Linked DNA regions of Diceros bicornis minor. The protein of the gene in region 1 purifies or fractionates together with the protein of each later gene. This does not show direct contact. Links are inferred from orthologs where the notes say so. Each region holds a gene or a part of one and is shown on either strand. Other genes may lie near its edges.

What was found. The genes of interacting proteins can lie anywhere in the genome.
Region 2: the proteins of MRM2 (region 1) and KBTBD7 purify together in Homo sapiens (co-immunoprecipitation; 3 studies listed by BioGRID and IntAct, counting the BioPlex papers as one, with this or other methods). This does not show direct contact. The link is inferred for Diceros bicornis minor from reciprocal best matches to the Homo sapiens genes MRM2 and KBTBD7.

Annotation. Positions count from the first base shown.
Region 1 is NC_080765.1:12,306,213-12,313,968, reverse strand, and holds the start of MRM2 (rRNA methyltransferase 2, mitochondrial), read right to left. Parts: upstream 3,015-7,756; 5' UTR 2,980-3,014; coding exon 2,972-2,979; exon of another isoform or gene 2,936-2,971; intron 1,588-2,935; coding exon 1,298-1,587; intron 1-1,297. Other genes in the region: NUDT1 (oxidized purine nucleoside triphosphate hydrolase), read left to right, coding at 4,704-4,855. UniProt on the Homo sapiens protein: S-adenosyl-L-methionine-dependent 2'-O-ribose methyltransferase that catalyzes the formation of 2'-O-methyluridine at position 1369 (Um1369) in the 16S mitochondrial large subunit ribosomal RNA (mtLSU rRNA), a universally conserved modification in the peptidyl transferase domain of the mtLSU rRNA.
Region 2 is NC_080748.1:35,095,147-35,102,133, reverse strand, and holds the start of KBTBD7 (kelch repeat and BTB domain-containing protein 7), read right to left. Parts: upstream 3,004-6,987; 5' UTR 2,409-3,003; coding exon 369-2,408; 3' UTR 1-368. UniProt on the Homo sapiens protein: As part of the CUL3(KBTBD6/7) E3 ubiquitin ligase complex functions as a substrate adapter for the RAC1 guanine exchange factor (GEF) TIAM1, mediating its 'Lys-48' ubiquitination and proteasomal degradation.

The sequences.
Region 1 (7,756 bases):
CATTTTTGCAACTTCTGGGAGGAAAAGAAACCAAGTCATGTTATCCACACAATCCTTGCTTCTGCCACTTCCTCCTACAAGTTCAACCTGGCCGCTTTTCCGCTTCTCCTGAAGAGCAGTTAGGGGAACAGCAGCCACTCAAACCAGCTGGTAGCAAGTCTGTGGAGGGGCCCAGCAGTGGAGAAGGAGCTGAAGTTTCTGACACAACTTCATTCACTTGGTCGATAAATAGTTAGTGAGCTAAAAAAAATTTAAACTGTTCTAGAGCCCCTTAAGGCATCCCACCCACAGTAATGCGGCTGATGAATGAACTTGGGGAGCAGCATCCCCAGGTCTATACTTTTAGCAGGTCACTCAACTCCTCTGAACCTCAATCTACTCATTAGGAAAATGGGCACAAATGTCCCCACTCAAAGATGTTTGGGCGAGATCTTTGTGACTGTCACATGTCATACAATGCCAGTGGATGCAGCACCCTCAGACTTCCCGGCAGGAAATACTAATGGTAAGGATATTCACCCCACATTGTGCATAGTAGCAGAAGACTGGAAAGCAACCTTTCCCAGACGAGGAGCCAGGATAACTGCCAACAGCACGCCATTCTCTAGAATACTAGGCAGCTAGTTACAAGGATGACACAGTTTTCTAAATTTTATGGGTGGTTGGTTTATCTGTTTATTAGTCAGGGGAACCTTTTTGATATAGAATATCTTTGACAAAACCCTAAAATATAAAACAGATAAAAGCTGAATCCCTTGGGTTGAGCCAGAGTGGAGAATCCAGAGGCCTGGCTGCGAGGGCTCCCCTGAGCAGCCCCAGCAGGACCTCCAAGAAACCCACGGCTTCCAGCAATAGGATCCAGAAACCTCTGGGGTTGCTTCAGTTGTACTGTCACAGAAAGATGGCAATATATCAGTAAGTGAAAAAAATAGCTCCATTAAGGCTCCAAATCAGCAACAAGAGTGTGGTGTAATATCACTTTCGAAAAAGAAGTTATATATGTGTAGCTATGTTTGCAAACACAAATTCCGGAAGGATGCACACCAACATATTAAAGCACATATTAATGTGGTGTGGTCTGAAGTGGTTTTAATTTTCTTTATACCTCTCTACTTTATCTTTCATTTTGAAAATGTCAGTGTCCTATCTTTACCATTATTACTACTAAACCACCAAGTCAGAAGTATGTGCCTTCACCAAGCGGCTCAGCTGCCCTGTATCCCTGGGCAGAGGGCAGCTGGCTGGCATCTACAGACTCCTGGTGGTCAGGGGCCCTAAGAGCAGCAGGAGGCCCCACCTGTGCCTGCAGCATTGACTCGCTGCACTGCCACCTGGCTCCACGCACCAGGAGCTGCCCCACAGTCCAACACCCGGAGGCCGGGCCGCAGGATCCGGTGCCTCTCGTTCACCTCCAGAAGCTTGAAGGCACTTCGACACCGGTAACTCTCCACCTTCGAAGCCTTCACAAACGGGTCTTTCAAATGCCGCGTCAGCCACAGGTGCTCAGCGCCTGTCCGACCCTTGTAGTGACTCCCAGCAGTGTGGAAGCTTTGATGCCGAAGGGAAGCACACAGCAGCTTCAAGGACCTGATGAGAGAAAAAGGGAGCAAGCAGGTTGGCATCATATAGACCCACAGGTCACGAGCTCAGTGTGGCCCTTGGTTCAACCCAAGCATTTTATAGGCCCAAAAGGGGATGCGACTTGACAAGGCTACACAGCCAGAAAGCAGGTGTTATGGGCTGAAAATTCGTATGTTGAAGTCCCAACCCCTAGTACCTCAAAGTGTGACTGGTCTTTAAAGAGGTAATTAAGTTAATATGAGGTCATATGAGTGGGCCCTAATCCAATATGACTGGTGTCCTTATTAAGGGAAAATTAGAACACACACACACAGGAAAGACCAGCAAGAAGACAGGCCTCAGAAGAAACCAACCCCACTGACACCTTGATTTTGGAAATCTAGCCTCCAGCACTGTGAGACAATACATCTCTGCCCTTTAAGCCACCCAGTCTGTGGCGCTCTGTTATGGCAGACCCAGCAAACTAACAAAGCAGGCATCCACCCTTCAGTCAAGAAGTGTTTCTTCTCTCCTGAAGTTTTCTTCAAAAGGAAAACTCAAAAATCAACAACAGTCACCTTATTTATATCAACCAAAATTTTCCCAGTACTGGTTAATAGTAATGATAAAATTAGCAAACATAATATTCTTTCTCAGCTGGTACTAATATTCATTAGGCTCTGAGACTGTGAGAAACCCCATGAGGACAGGTCCTTGCCTTAGTGACTTAGTTCCATGGCTTCAGTGGCTAGCACATGGCCTGACCTGTCACATTTCTTAATAAAATTGAAATCAACCTGTGTGAATAGTTGAAGGGCCTCTCCGTGCTCTTCACAAGCTTCACTTCTACCTGCAGAGCCCCCTCACCTAACCCCTCCTCTTCTCTCCCTGCACGGCCAGCTCACCTGCCCCTCCTCTTCTCTCCCTACAGGGCCACCTCACCTGCCCCTCCTCTTTTCTCCCTGCACGGCCCCCTCATCTGTCCCTCCTCTTCTCTACCCGCAGGGCCACCTCACCTGTCCCTCCTCTACCCATAGGGCCGCCTCACCTGTTCCTTCCTCTTCTCTACCCGCAGGGCCCCTCACCTGCCCCTCCTCTTCTGAAGCCCTCTACAGCTCTCTGCCCTCCCGTCGCTCCTGGGGAGGCTTCGCCGACTGTGGCTTCGTGTTTGCAGTCCTCCTCGAGCCACCTCGCCGGGCTGACCGTGTCGGGGCCAGGACAGAGGTGGGACCTGCGCCCCTTCGGACGAAGAAGAGTGGGGCGGCCCTGGCCACTCCCGCCTCCCGCACGCGTGCAGCAGGCGCTCCAGAAACGCCGCCTGAGCGCACGGACGCCCCGCTCTCCCCGGCCACGGCCCCTTCGCGGCTCACCTGGCCTGCTCCCCGGACCCCACTCCCCGACTCCCGCTCACCGGGCCATGGGTGCAGAGCTGCTCCGGCCCCCTGCTGCCGGAAGTGCCCGCCTCGCTTCCGGCTCGAAGCCACGCCCCCGGCGGCGGCGCGCATATTCAGAAGGCGCGCGCGGAACCCCAGCCAGCGGAGACCGGTAGTGAGCCGGGTGAGCCGGGGATAGGGGAGGGGGCGAGCGGGCCAGGGGAGCCGGGGATAGGGGAGCGCGGGTCTGGGTTGGGGGGCAGCTTAGCTGAGGCCGCAGGAGATGGATCAAGGACTGGGGTGAGGGCTTGGGGGCGCCGGGCCCCTGGGAGGGACGGCCAGGGAACCTACATTTAGGAAGTGCCCGCGCTCTAAGTTTATTGTCGCTTTCAACCCTGGTAAAGGCCTCAATTTACAGACTACTCGACTCAGAGGCCACATGGCTAACAAGTGGGGCTGCCCAGCCCTGTTGCCAGTCTCCCGGCCCCTGACATTAGGTCGGCTCTCTGAGGACCCGTCTAACCGTAGTGCCAAGCCGCCTGCTCCGGGAGATGTGGGCCAACTAGACTTCCACATCCAGTAGACCCAGGCTTGGGTACTGGCTCCACTATTTAGCCTCTCTGAGCTTCAGTTTCCTCCTCTGAAAATGAAGAAAGTAAGTGTTAGTTTTTAGAGTTGTTGGGTCTATTAAATGGGATAATTTTTGAAAAAAAATATATAGTCAGTGCTTAATAAGTGATAGCTGACATATGCAGTATCCATCCTCATCACCGCCACAGTTTACTTAGGAAGCCAGGACTTGGGGTGTGAACAGGTCAGCGTCAGGACAGAGTATGCAGGCCTAAAGGGAGACTCCGCCACAGATACCCACTTCCTCCACCACCAGGACCCAGCTATAGGTCCCTTTTCTCAAACAGGGTAACTTCCCAGGAGGATCCTGGTCCTGAATCCTGTGTCTAATCTGGTGTGGTCCCCAGAGTAGGAGACTTGTGTTCGATGAGCCCCAGGCTGGGATAGGGATGGATCAACAGAGACCTTGGTCCTGGTTCTCCAGCAGCAACCCAGATGTGACCCTCAGGGTCTCTTGCTGGACCATGCACACGCATTTGAGCAGGAGGGGCCCTTGTGGATCCAGTGCCCTCTCTGAGTGCCAGGTCCCAGAGCAGCAACGGTTGTGAGCAGAGTATGAACTCCTGTCACAGGACGGAGGACCAGCCAGGCCTGGCTGGGTGGACTTTCCACTGTCGGGAGCATTTCTTGGCAATCTGGAGGTCTGCTACTGCAGAGAGGAAGAAGCCAGATCCTAGAAGGCCACATTAATGAAAAGGCCAAAGCTAAAAGCCTGACCCAAGAACCGTTGGATAAACTGCATGGTTATCTTGGTGTCAGTGGGGCACAGAGGCTGGACTACCCTCCCACTTCTGAAGAACAGCTCTGTGCCAAGGAGTGGGGAAGGGGAGATGTGGCCATTGCCTGACCTGCTGCATCAGCCCTGGCAAATGAAGGGCCTGGGCACTGATCCCACTGGGCTCTGAGGGCCAGGCCTCTTTTTACCGCAGAAGATCATTTGTTCAATGGCAGGCTTCCACCTGCACCGGGCAAGCCACACATGGCAGAGCTTAGAAATTACCACCAAGCTTCCCCTCCCTGCCTTCCAATGCACAGTTCTGTTCCAGCTGGACCCTAGTCACTGCAGTACACATGCTTCCATCCACGCCCAAGTCAAGCTGACCCAGCCCTCTTGCCTTCCTCATAGAACCCAAGGGGACCATGGGTGCCTCCAGGCTCTACACCTTGGTACTGGTGCTACAGTCTCAGCGAATTCTCCTGGGCATGAAGAAAAGAGGCTTTGGGGTGGGCCGGTGGAATGGCTTCGGGGGCAAAGTTCAAGAAGGAGAGACCATCGAGGACGGAGCCAAGAGGTAAGGGAGGGGTAGGTCTGAGCCCAGGACCAGCTTCTGCAGGGGATAAGGATTTGAGCTGTAGAGCCAGACCCCTGATGTCACCACTTAGAGCCGTGTGACCTGAAGCATGTACTTAACCCTTGAGCCTCAGTTTCTTCATCTGCAAAATGGGAAAAATAACGGTACCTGTCGCTTAGGATTGTTGTGAAGATCAAATGAGAAAATAAAGAACTTGGAACAGTGCCTGCCACGTGGTAAGTGCTGAGTACATATTAGCTGTTGCTATGGGGGTTAGGACGTATCTGGGAAGCTGCTGTGCACATGGCCTGGGTTGAAAAGTTCTGGCTTTCTCTTTCTAGCTAACAGGCCGGTTGGTCACTTGTCACTTGGTTTCTTGGTTTGTTCAGGGGGTTGAAGATGAGGGTTTCTATCTGAACCCTTTTGCACACACAGTCTCAGTTAATCCTCAACACAGCCAGTTTCACATGAGAAGGAACTGAAACCCAGAGAGGTCGAGCAGTGTGCCCAAGATCACACAGCCCCCCAGACTTCAACCTCTTTGCCCCTCTTCACAGGCTTGTGTGGATAAAATGAGATTGTGTGTGTAAACATCGCAAAGCACTACACAAACCTTAGCTCCTGCTGATGTTCTTCTTACTCTGAAAAAGGTTGGCAACCTGAAGTCCACTCTCCCTGGAGAGGGCAACAAATCCCCAAATGCATACTACCGAGGTTTCTGGAAAGGACGGAAGCTGCCGATGCTGCAGCCCAGTAGCTTTCAAGTTTTAGGGTTTTTTCCTTAAATCACAGCCCACAGTAAGCAATGTTTATACTCTGATATAGCGATGCCCTTACTACATGAAAGCGTGCTCCAATATAATTTTTTTTAATTGCCAGTCACAATCCACTAAGTTGACCTCATGGTGCATGACTGGGTCCCAGCCCCCAACTTAAAAAGCCCTGCAGGTGGTGTCCCTGCATGCACCTCCCCTCCCTAGGCCTGGGACCCAGGGCTGCTGCCACACGGATGCGTCTGGTCGTTCATTTTGGCAAGTGCTAGGCAATGTGGCTGGAACCCGCTGAGAGGACACAGCTGGGAGGAGACCCAGTCTGGGGAGACTCGGGCATCCAGCCCTGTGAGCAGTGCTGGGGTGGGAAGGGTGCAGAAGAAACAGCATGGAAAATGGACAGCAACAGTGGGTGCCAGAGGTCTGCTTTGCCATCCATTTGAATGTCTGTGTCCTCCTGAGACCGTTCACCGGGTCACTGATTTATGTAGCACCCACCACCTAAGCACCGCTCAGTGTCGGGACACAGAGGTGCGGGTCCCAGCCCCTGCGGGGCTCCTACCTGCTCTGGCCCCCGGGTTCAGGGGGCTGTGTACAGACAGCAAGTCTAGTGAACACCCCTAGTGGTCTGGGGCATCCAGCATAGGGAGGGAGAGCAAGTAACTGGGCATGAGGGAAAACTCCCGAAGGACCTGAGTTTGGTCGGAGGGCCGGGTGGAAGGTGGGAATGCAGCACTTGCAGAAGCAGAGGCTGCAGAGGCAGGGCCCGTGCAGAGGAGTGTGGCGTGGCCAGAGGGCCGGGGAGGGAGGGGAGGCCGGATGGACAGGCTGAGACCGCACAGGAGGAGCCCCAGGTGGCTTCACTTCAGCTGTGCTGGTGACAAGCAGACTTCAGGCCCCCCAAGGCAGCCCTGATGTATTTTCTTATGAACTTTCTCAGGATCTAAGGGACTTTCCTTCCTGCCCTCTCAATATTATTCATTTCTTCAGTGAGACACAGACATAAGAAACCGTGACTCCAGACCCTCAGTACTGAGTATAATGGTGGTCTTTCCTAAGACCAGGTCTGAGATAGGGGAGGAACCTGAAGGACAGAGCAGGACACATGTAATTTCTATCCCCAGAATATAACTCGAATCCATCCGGGTCTCACTTCCTCCACTGCCGCCGCATTCAGACCACCCCTTCTCACCTGCACAGGTGCAGTAGCCTCCTACCTGGCCTCCCTGCTCCTCCGGTTCCCTCCGAGGTCCTTCACACAACTGCCTGCTGGGTGACCTTCCTGAAACTACGTCTGGGTCTCTTTGTCTCTGTCTCTGTCTGTCACTCATTCACACATTAACACCCTTTAATAGCTCCCAGCGCACTTGAATCCAACCTCCTGTGTCATCCATTGAGCCCCCCCAGGGTCGGGCCTCACCCCTCCCTCCCATTCCTGCCCTTCCCTCCCCACACTCTGCCCCTCAGACACCCCCCTTTTCCTGGCTCCTCATCCGGCGGGCCCCTCCTCAGCCTTCACATGTAAGAAGGTGCCCCCCACCCCAGCTGTTCCCCGTTAAGTCTCATCCTGTGTATATATTTCCTTCACAGTACTCTCACCCTTTCTAATCATATTTAATTATTCCCTTTCCATCTGTCTTCCCCCAGAAGCGCTCCATGAGGCCAGGTCTGAAGATGTTTTATAAGTCAAATTGGTGTTGAAATATAACATGCATATAGGAACATGCACAAATCTTCACCAGGGAATTTTTAGGACACGGGTCCACCTATTTAACTGGCACGTGGATCAAGAGATGGAAATGGAGCGGGGACCCTGCCCTCTGAAGGGCAGCCTGCACCCTGACTTCTGTCATGGTGATGATTTGGGCCTATTCAAAATAGCACATAAGTGGAATCCTGCAGGATGTACCCATTGTGTCTGACTTTTTCCCAGCATTATGCCTGCAGGTAGCAGTGGTCCATTCGTTCCCACTGCTGTATAGTATTCCAGTTATGAATATGCTGCAGCTTATCCATTCTGTGGACAGGCATTTGGGTTGTTTGTGGTTTGGAGCTGCAAGTAGTTCTGCTAAGATAGCCGTGCACAGTCTTCGGGAGCCCGTGTGAACTTCTTGCTGGTGGATATTTCCCT
Region 2 (6,987 bases), on another chromosome or scaffold:
AAATTCTTTGTGGCACTAATAGAATTAAAAAGTTAACAGAAGACTAAATTAGATAATCAAAATATAAACTACTGTAACTAACCAAAACAATCCACTGGTGCAATGAATAACTGAACAATGAAAAAACCACCAAGCTTTCTAATCAACGATATAGCTCACTTTTTGCATATTTCAATCTCAACTTTTAGCACAGTAAATTCTTATGTGGACTGCTTAAATTTTGTAACATTACATTAGTAATTCAAACATTACCCTTTCTAAACCAAATCTGTGGTCCTAATCACTTTTTTTTTTTTCCAGAAAAAGGAGAGGATATCTTTTTAAGATACATTCCATAGCAGTAGAAACATCTCGGTGTTTCAAAATATTTACAAAGAACCCTGCTGATCCTGTGCATTTCGCTGAGGTGCTACCTGTACCCAGACTTCATCATCAGAAAAAGAACTTGAACTTCCTGACTCAGAGTCCAGCTCACTGAATCCGTCTAAGTCCCATTCAGTACTAGATTCACTCCGTGCATCATCTTCCTCAGTGATGAAACTCTGACCAGGTTCAAGGCAGGAAGGATAAACCCGAGCACAGAGGCAAATAAAGCCAGAGTCAAATTGCAATAGACCTAACATAGTACCTATATTAATCCACTGGTCTTCCCTAGTATCATATTCATACACAGTCACCCGGTTTTTTTTCCACTGTGGGGTGGTAGAAGTGATGAGGAGCAACTTTTGGCCATGATTGACAATCTGGTAGTTATGGGTCTCTGAGTCCAAGGGAATATTACTAATCCGCCTCCATTCTCCCCTGGCTGGGTTATAGACCTTCATGACTGGGATGTCACAGATACAATAGATCTCATCATTGAAGACACAGGCTTCCTGAAAGTCACTTCGTTTAAGAGAAGCACAGTTCAGCCACATATTGTGGCTAGGATCATAGCAGAGCATGCGTTTACTGTTCACAGCATAAAGATAGTTCTGAACCACTATTAGTTCAAAGGAATAGAAGGAATGGGGTACAGGAGCCACCAGCGCCCACTGGTTCCTCTGAACACTGTAGCATTCCACTTCCTTCAATTTAACTCCGGTAACAGGGTCTCGCCCACCCAAAATGTAAATGTAGCCATTGAGGTATGCCACATCCATGCCCTCACGGCAGAGTAAGCGGTCTGCAAGTTGCTGCCAACTATTCTGGGCTGGTTTATATACCCAGAGGTCCTTCCTGGGCTGGGCAGCTAGATAGATGTCATGGTCTGGAGAGACACAGACTGCTGAGGAGGTGACAGTCTTAGTGTGAGCCAAGCTGGTCAATGGTGATGGCATTGTGTAAATGTCCCCCGAGTACGGGTCATAGCAGAGAAAGGGATCTCTGGGATGTCCAAAGAAGATCACCATCTCCTTGGCACACATGCCCAGCCTCTGGGGTGGATTTTCTGCTGCGGATACAACAGAGCTGCTGCTGTCCTCTGACTTAGGCACCACAGACTTGTACAACATGTCACTGCATCGCATCTGCAGGGCCCCTTCAATAAGGTCCGGACAGTGCTTCTTCACAATGGGCTTGGTCAACAGCCCTTCCAGGTAATCCTGATCTTCATCAGTGAATTGTGTCCAGCGGACACACTTGAAGACTTCTGCTGCGCTAGGCCCACGCTCCTTGGGAGCCGCCTCCAACCACTGCATGGCCACATGACACACTGTCCGCTCACTTTCGATGTCTAGACTATCCAAGCGCAGGACAGCCACCAGCTGGGCCAAGGTCAGATCTGCCAGAGTCTCCTCCCGAACTGAACTCATCCGGCTGAGCTGCTTGAAGTTGTGAGCTATAAAGGACTGGGCCTGCGATCGCAGTTTGTGATGGTCGAAGGCGTCCGCAAACTTGAGGATAGCGGTGCAGTTGGCCAGGTCTAGGCGGCGGGCTAGGAAGGAGGCACAGGCTTCTCGCACATATTCCAGCTGTAGCATGTCGGAGGCCGCGTAGAGGCGCTGCACGTTGGCCTCGCTTAGAGACACGCGACCCGTGTAGCAGTAGTCAACTAAGACCTCGAAGGACTCGGCATCCACATCGTGCATAGTCACGCTCGCCTGCTGGCTCTCGTACATGCCGCCGGTGAACATGCTCTTGAAGTAGGGACACGCGGCAGCCAGCACATTACGGTTGCAGGAAAATAGGCGGCCTGTGCCAGGCCCGCTGCCAGGTGTCACCACCTCGATGGTCACATCGCATAGCAGCCGCGCGTCGTAGAAAGACTTGAGCTGTGCCAGCAGGGCTGCAGAATGGGCCGTGTCCTTCAGCTCCTCCGGGCCCGTGAAAAAAGCCGAAACCGAGGGCTTGGAAATCCTCTTGGGCCGCCTCCCCCCGCGGGGACTGGCGAGGCGGCGAGAACGCGGAGCTTCTTCCCGGGACTGCATGGTGGAGATGGCGGCGCGGTGCCGAGGGCGAGGACGGGTGCAAGGACCGGGCTCTGGCTCCTCCTCACCCTCCTCTCGCCGGCGCTAAGATCGCGGTCTCCCTGAACAGACTGTCGCAGGGGCCGCACTTCCTCAACTCAGCCCTACGCCACGCTGCTGCCTCTCTTTATCGCGTAGACAGTGCCTGACTCACCCTTTTCCAGTTCCGCGCCCTTTCTCCGCCTCAGCTCGCCCTCACAAGATCCGCTAGCCGGAACAGAGAGAGCCGCCACTGCCGCGCTGGCAATACCGGTACGCGTCCAAGAGAACTACGGCTCCCAGGTTGCCTTTCGCGCCTCGAGGCATGCTGGGGCCCTCCAGACTCACCGGCATAGGCTGACCAACAGAAGCCGCTTTGCATGTCGGGAGTAGTAGTTTGAGTAATATCGCGAGGCTTCTTGGGGTGGACTGCTTTAGCTAACAGAATCAAAAAGCGTTAATTCTCCTGGATTGGATGGTTTAGAGCATTGTCTTTGAAGTCCAGAGTAGAAGCCTCGTTTTAGTATTTGTTAATTGTGTGACTTCTCTCTGAGAGCTTTCCCCTCTTTGTAAAGTGGGGATAATAGTATTCATAGGATTGTGTGATGGATGGAATGAGATAAATTGAGTAGGACATAGGATGCTTCAACAAATATTTGTTGATTAGAACAATAATTAATTAAATGCTTACACTGTGCCTAGAATATATTCAATCACTGTTAGCTTTTCTTTTAGAGTTTTTGAAAAATGAGGCACCTCCTAATTTGAAACCATGAGCAATTTCTGCAAAGAAAACTTCCAGCTTTTAATGTTGCTTCTTTTGAAAGGTTCTGAAGGGTACTGCAATATTTTCAATACTAAACTGTATCCATAGATTCATTAGGCTGTCTTTGACAGAGATGAGGTCCTAGTGAATAACATTTATAGATGTCCTCAAATATGCAAATCAGGCTTCTAAATATAGATGGATTGGCATCTCACCAAATCAACACATCTCCTGAGGAGCAAGATTATTTTCATAAGCTCTTAATATGAATGTTTTCTAGTCGTCTAATACTGCTTCTTTCACTTCCTTTCCACAAATCAGTTGAAGATTCTGAAATGTTTTTATTAAGGAGTTTTAACGCGAGTTTTAAATTAAGATATTTAAACAAATAGGATCTTGTACAAAAGCACAAGATCCTCAGAGTTTGGTATTCATATATGCCCTGATGTTCCCTGAATTAATATAGTACAGTCTATGCTTTATAAAAGTATTTTTTATATATATTGATCAACATTGTCTGTTAGTTAAATCGTCAAAATCAAGTGCTTAGAGATTAACTAAAAAAACAGAGAACTTTTATTTAAAAACCGAACTGCTCCTGCTACTAGTTTGCAGTGGTTCCCATAACCCAATGAACGAAATCTTTAGTGTTACACGAATAGGTGGATAACTCATAACAGGAGAATAACTCAGTCAAATTGTTTTTCTCTCTTTTCCTGTTAGCTGAAGAGGGTCTACTGGAAATACCCTAAGACAGAGACATTAAACTAAGTGGGGCTCTGGGCTCCAATATCTCCCCTGTACCTCTGTTGGGTATCCCTCAGATAAACCAGAGAGAATTAAGTCACTAGTAATACCAATTGCTTTCTCACCTGCACTAAACACCAGCTGGGGAAAAAGCAGTTAAAAAAATTTTTTTGTATTAGTACAATATATGTAACATAATATTTACCATTTTAACGATTTTAAAGTGTACATTTCTTGGGCGTTAAATACATTCACATTTTTTTGCAACCATCACCACCATCCATCTCCAGAACTCTTTTCATCTTGCAAAACTGAAACTTTGTACCCATTCACAATAACTCTCCTTTCCCCACCCCAAAACTCCTGGTAACCCCCATTCTACTTTGTGTTTCTTTGAATTTGACTACTCTAAGTACCTCATATAAGTTCAGTGATTGATTTTTAACTTTCTTATATCTGCCCTTTGTTATTTGGTTTAGCTAACCCTTCACAGAATTCAAAATATTTAGTAGACACTGTGCCCTAAGGTCTAGAGCAGTGCTGTCACAGAACTTCCTGCGATGTTGCAAATATTTTATATCTGCACTGACTGATACGGTAGCCAGAAGTCACCTGTAGCTCTTTAGTTCTTGAAATGTGGCTAGTGCAATTGAGGAACTGACTTTTTGGGCCAGCCTGGTGGTGCAGCGGTTAAGTGCGTGCGCTCCGCTGTGGCGGCCCAGGGTTTGTGGGTTCAGATCCTGGGCTTGGACTTATGCACACCGCTTATCAAGCCACACTGTGGCAGGTGTCCCACATATAAAGTAGAGGAAGATGGGCACGGATGTTAGCCCAGGGTCAATCTTCCTCTGCAAAAAGAGGAGGATTGGTGGGGCTGGCCCGGTGGTGCAAGTGGTTAAGTCTGCGTGCTCCGCTGTGGCGGCCCAGGGTCCGCCGGTTCAGATCCTGGGCACGTACCAACGCACTGCTTGGCAAGCCATGCTGTGGCAGCGTCCCATATAAAGTGGAGGAAGATGGGCACGGATGTTAGCCCAGGGCTAGTCTTCCTTAGCAAAAAAAAAAAAAAAAGAGGATTGGCAGATGTTAGCACAGGGCTGATCTCCTCACACACACAAAAAAGAGGAGGATTGGCAACATATGTTAGCTCAGGGCTAATCTTCCTCACGAAAAAGAAAAAGGAACTGAATTTTAAATTTTAGAAACACAGCATTGGTATCAATGCAATTCAATGGAGAAAGGAAAGTCTTTTCAACAAACAGTGTTGAACAACTGGATCACAATGTGAAAAAAATTAACCTTGATCCCTAACTTATACCATAAACAAAAATTAATTCAAAATAGATCTTAATATTAAACAGAAAAGTGAAACTATAAAGCTTCTAAAAGAAATCATAGAAGATTATCTCTGTGACTTTGAGGCAGGCAAAGATTTTTTAGGACACAAAGAACACTAACCTTAAAAAAATTGATGAGGGGCCGGCCCCGTGGCTTAGCGGTTAAGTGCGCACGCTCTGCTGCTGGCGGCCCGGGTTCAGATCCTGGGCATGCACCTACACACCGCTTCTCCGGCCATGCTGAGGCTGCATCCCACACACAGCAACTAGAAGGATGTGCAGCTATGACATACAACTATCTACTGGGGCTTTGGGGGAAAAAAATAAATAAATAAAATCATAAAACAAAAAAAATTGATGAAATGAACTTCAACAAGATTACAAGCTTTTGTCCATCAAAAAGCAGTAAAAACAAAATAAAAGGCAAGCTATAGACTGGTAAAAAATATCTGAAATACATATACCCAATAGCCAATAAATATATGAAAAGCTGCTCAATGTCATTCATCATCAGATGAATGCAAATTGTATTCACAATGAAAAAACTCTGCACATGCACTGGAATGGCTAAACTTAAAAAGATCAACGATACTAAATGTTGGTGACAATAGGGAGCCATTGGAACCCTCATATATTAACAATAGGAATATAAATTGGTATATCCACTTAAAAAAACTGTTTGGTAGTTTCTCTGAATGTTAAATGCCCAATAATTTCACTCCTAGGCATTTGCCCAAGGGAAATTAAAACATCTGTCCACAAAAAGACTTGTACAAGAATGTTCATGGTAGCTTTATTCACAATATCCCAAAACTGGAAATAATCCAAACGTGTATCAATAGGAGAATGAAAAAAATTAATTGTGGTATATTCATACACTGTCATACTACTCAGAAATAAAAAAGAACCTTTGCACATGCAATAATGTAAATGAACTTCAAAAATTTTATGTTAAACAAAAGAAGCCAGATATACAAGAGCACATACTGTATGACCATTTACGTGAAGTTCAGAACAGTGAAAATAAGGTATGATGAATAAAAATCATTATAGAGGCTGCCACTGTTGGGGACAGGGGGTTGGCAGATTGCTGAATTGACTGGAAAGGAACACAAGGAAATTTTGGGGGTGAAGAAAATGTTCTCTTCTTGATTGTGCTGGTGGTTACACGGGTGCACGCAATTGCCAAATTCAATGAACTGTCTCTTAAGATCTGTGCATTTAATTTACTTTAAATTATACCTCCTCTTAGGATGAGCCACTTCATAATTACTGGCACTAAATAAAGTTGCAGAATTCTTTGCCAGGAAAATTGTGAAGATTGTTCAGTCAAAAATAAAATAAGACTCTTCTCATCTAGAGGTATATGGGCCAACATTGCTCCAATTCTCACTAGATGCAGAGCTCCATACACCTGGGACAGGGTGCCTCAGGGCAATCTTCAAGGATTTCAGTGTACTGGGATCTTTCAAATTTGTAGAGTAGCTGAGTGCCCAACATTACATTCTATTATTCTTTTATTCCTGACACAACTTCAGTAACAGCATTATTATTACCTAACTATCTGTGTTTCCTCAAGATTTCTGGTAATTTGCATAATCCTCTACAATGGAATCCACATTCTTCTTGGCAGGAAGATAAAAGAGCTGTTTTTGCCTGATACATAAGCCTCAGTCATCAGCAAGCCATGATTTTAGTCCTTCAAAAATTTTGA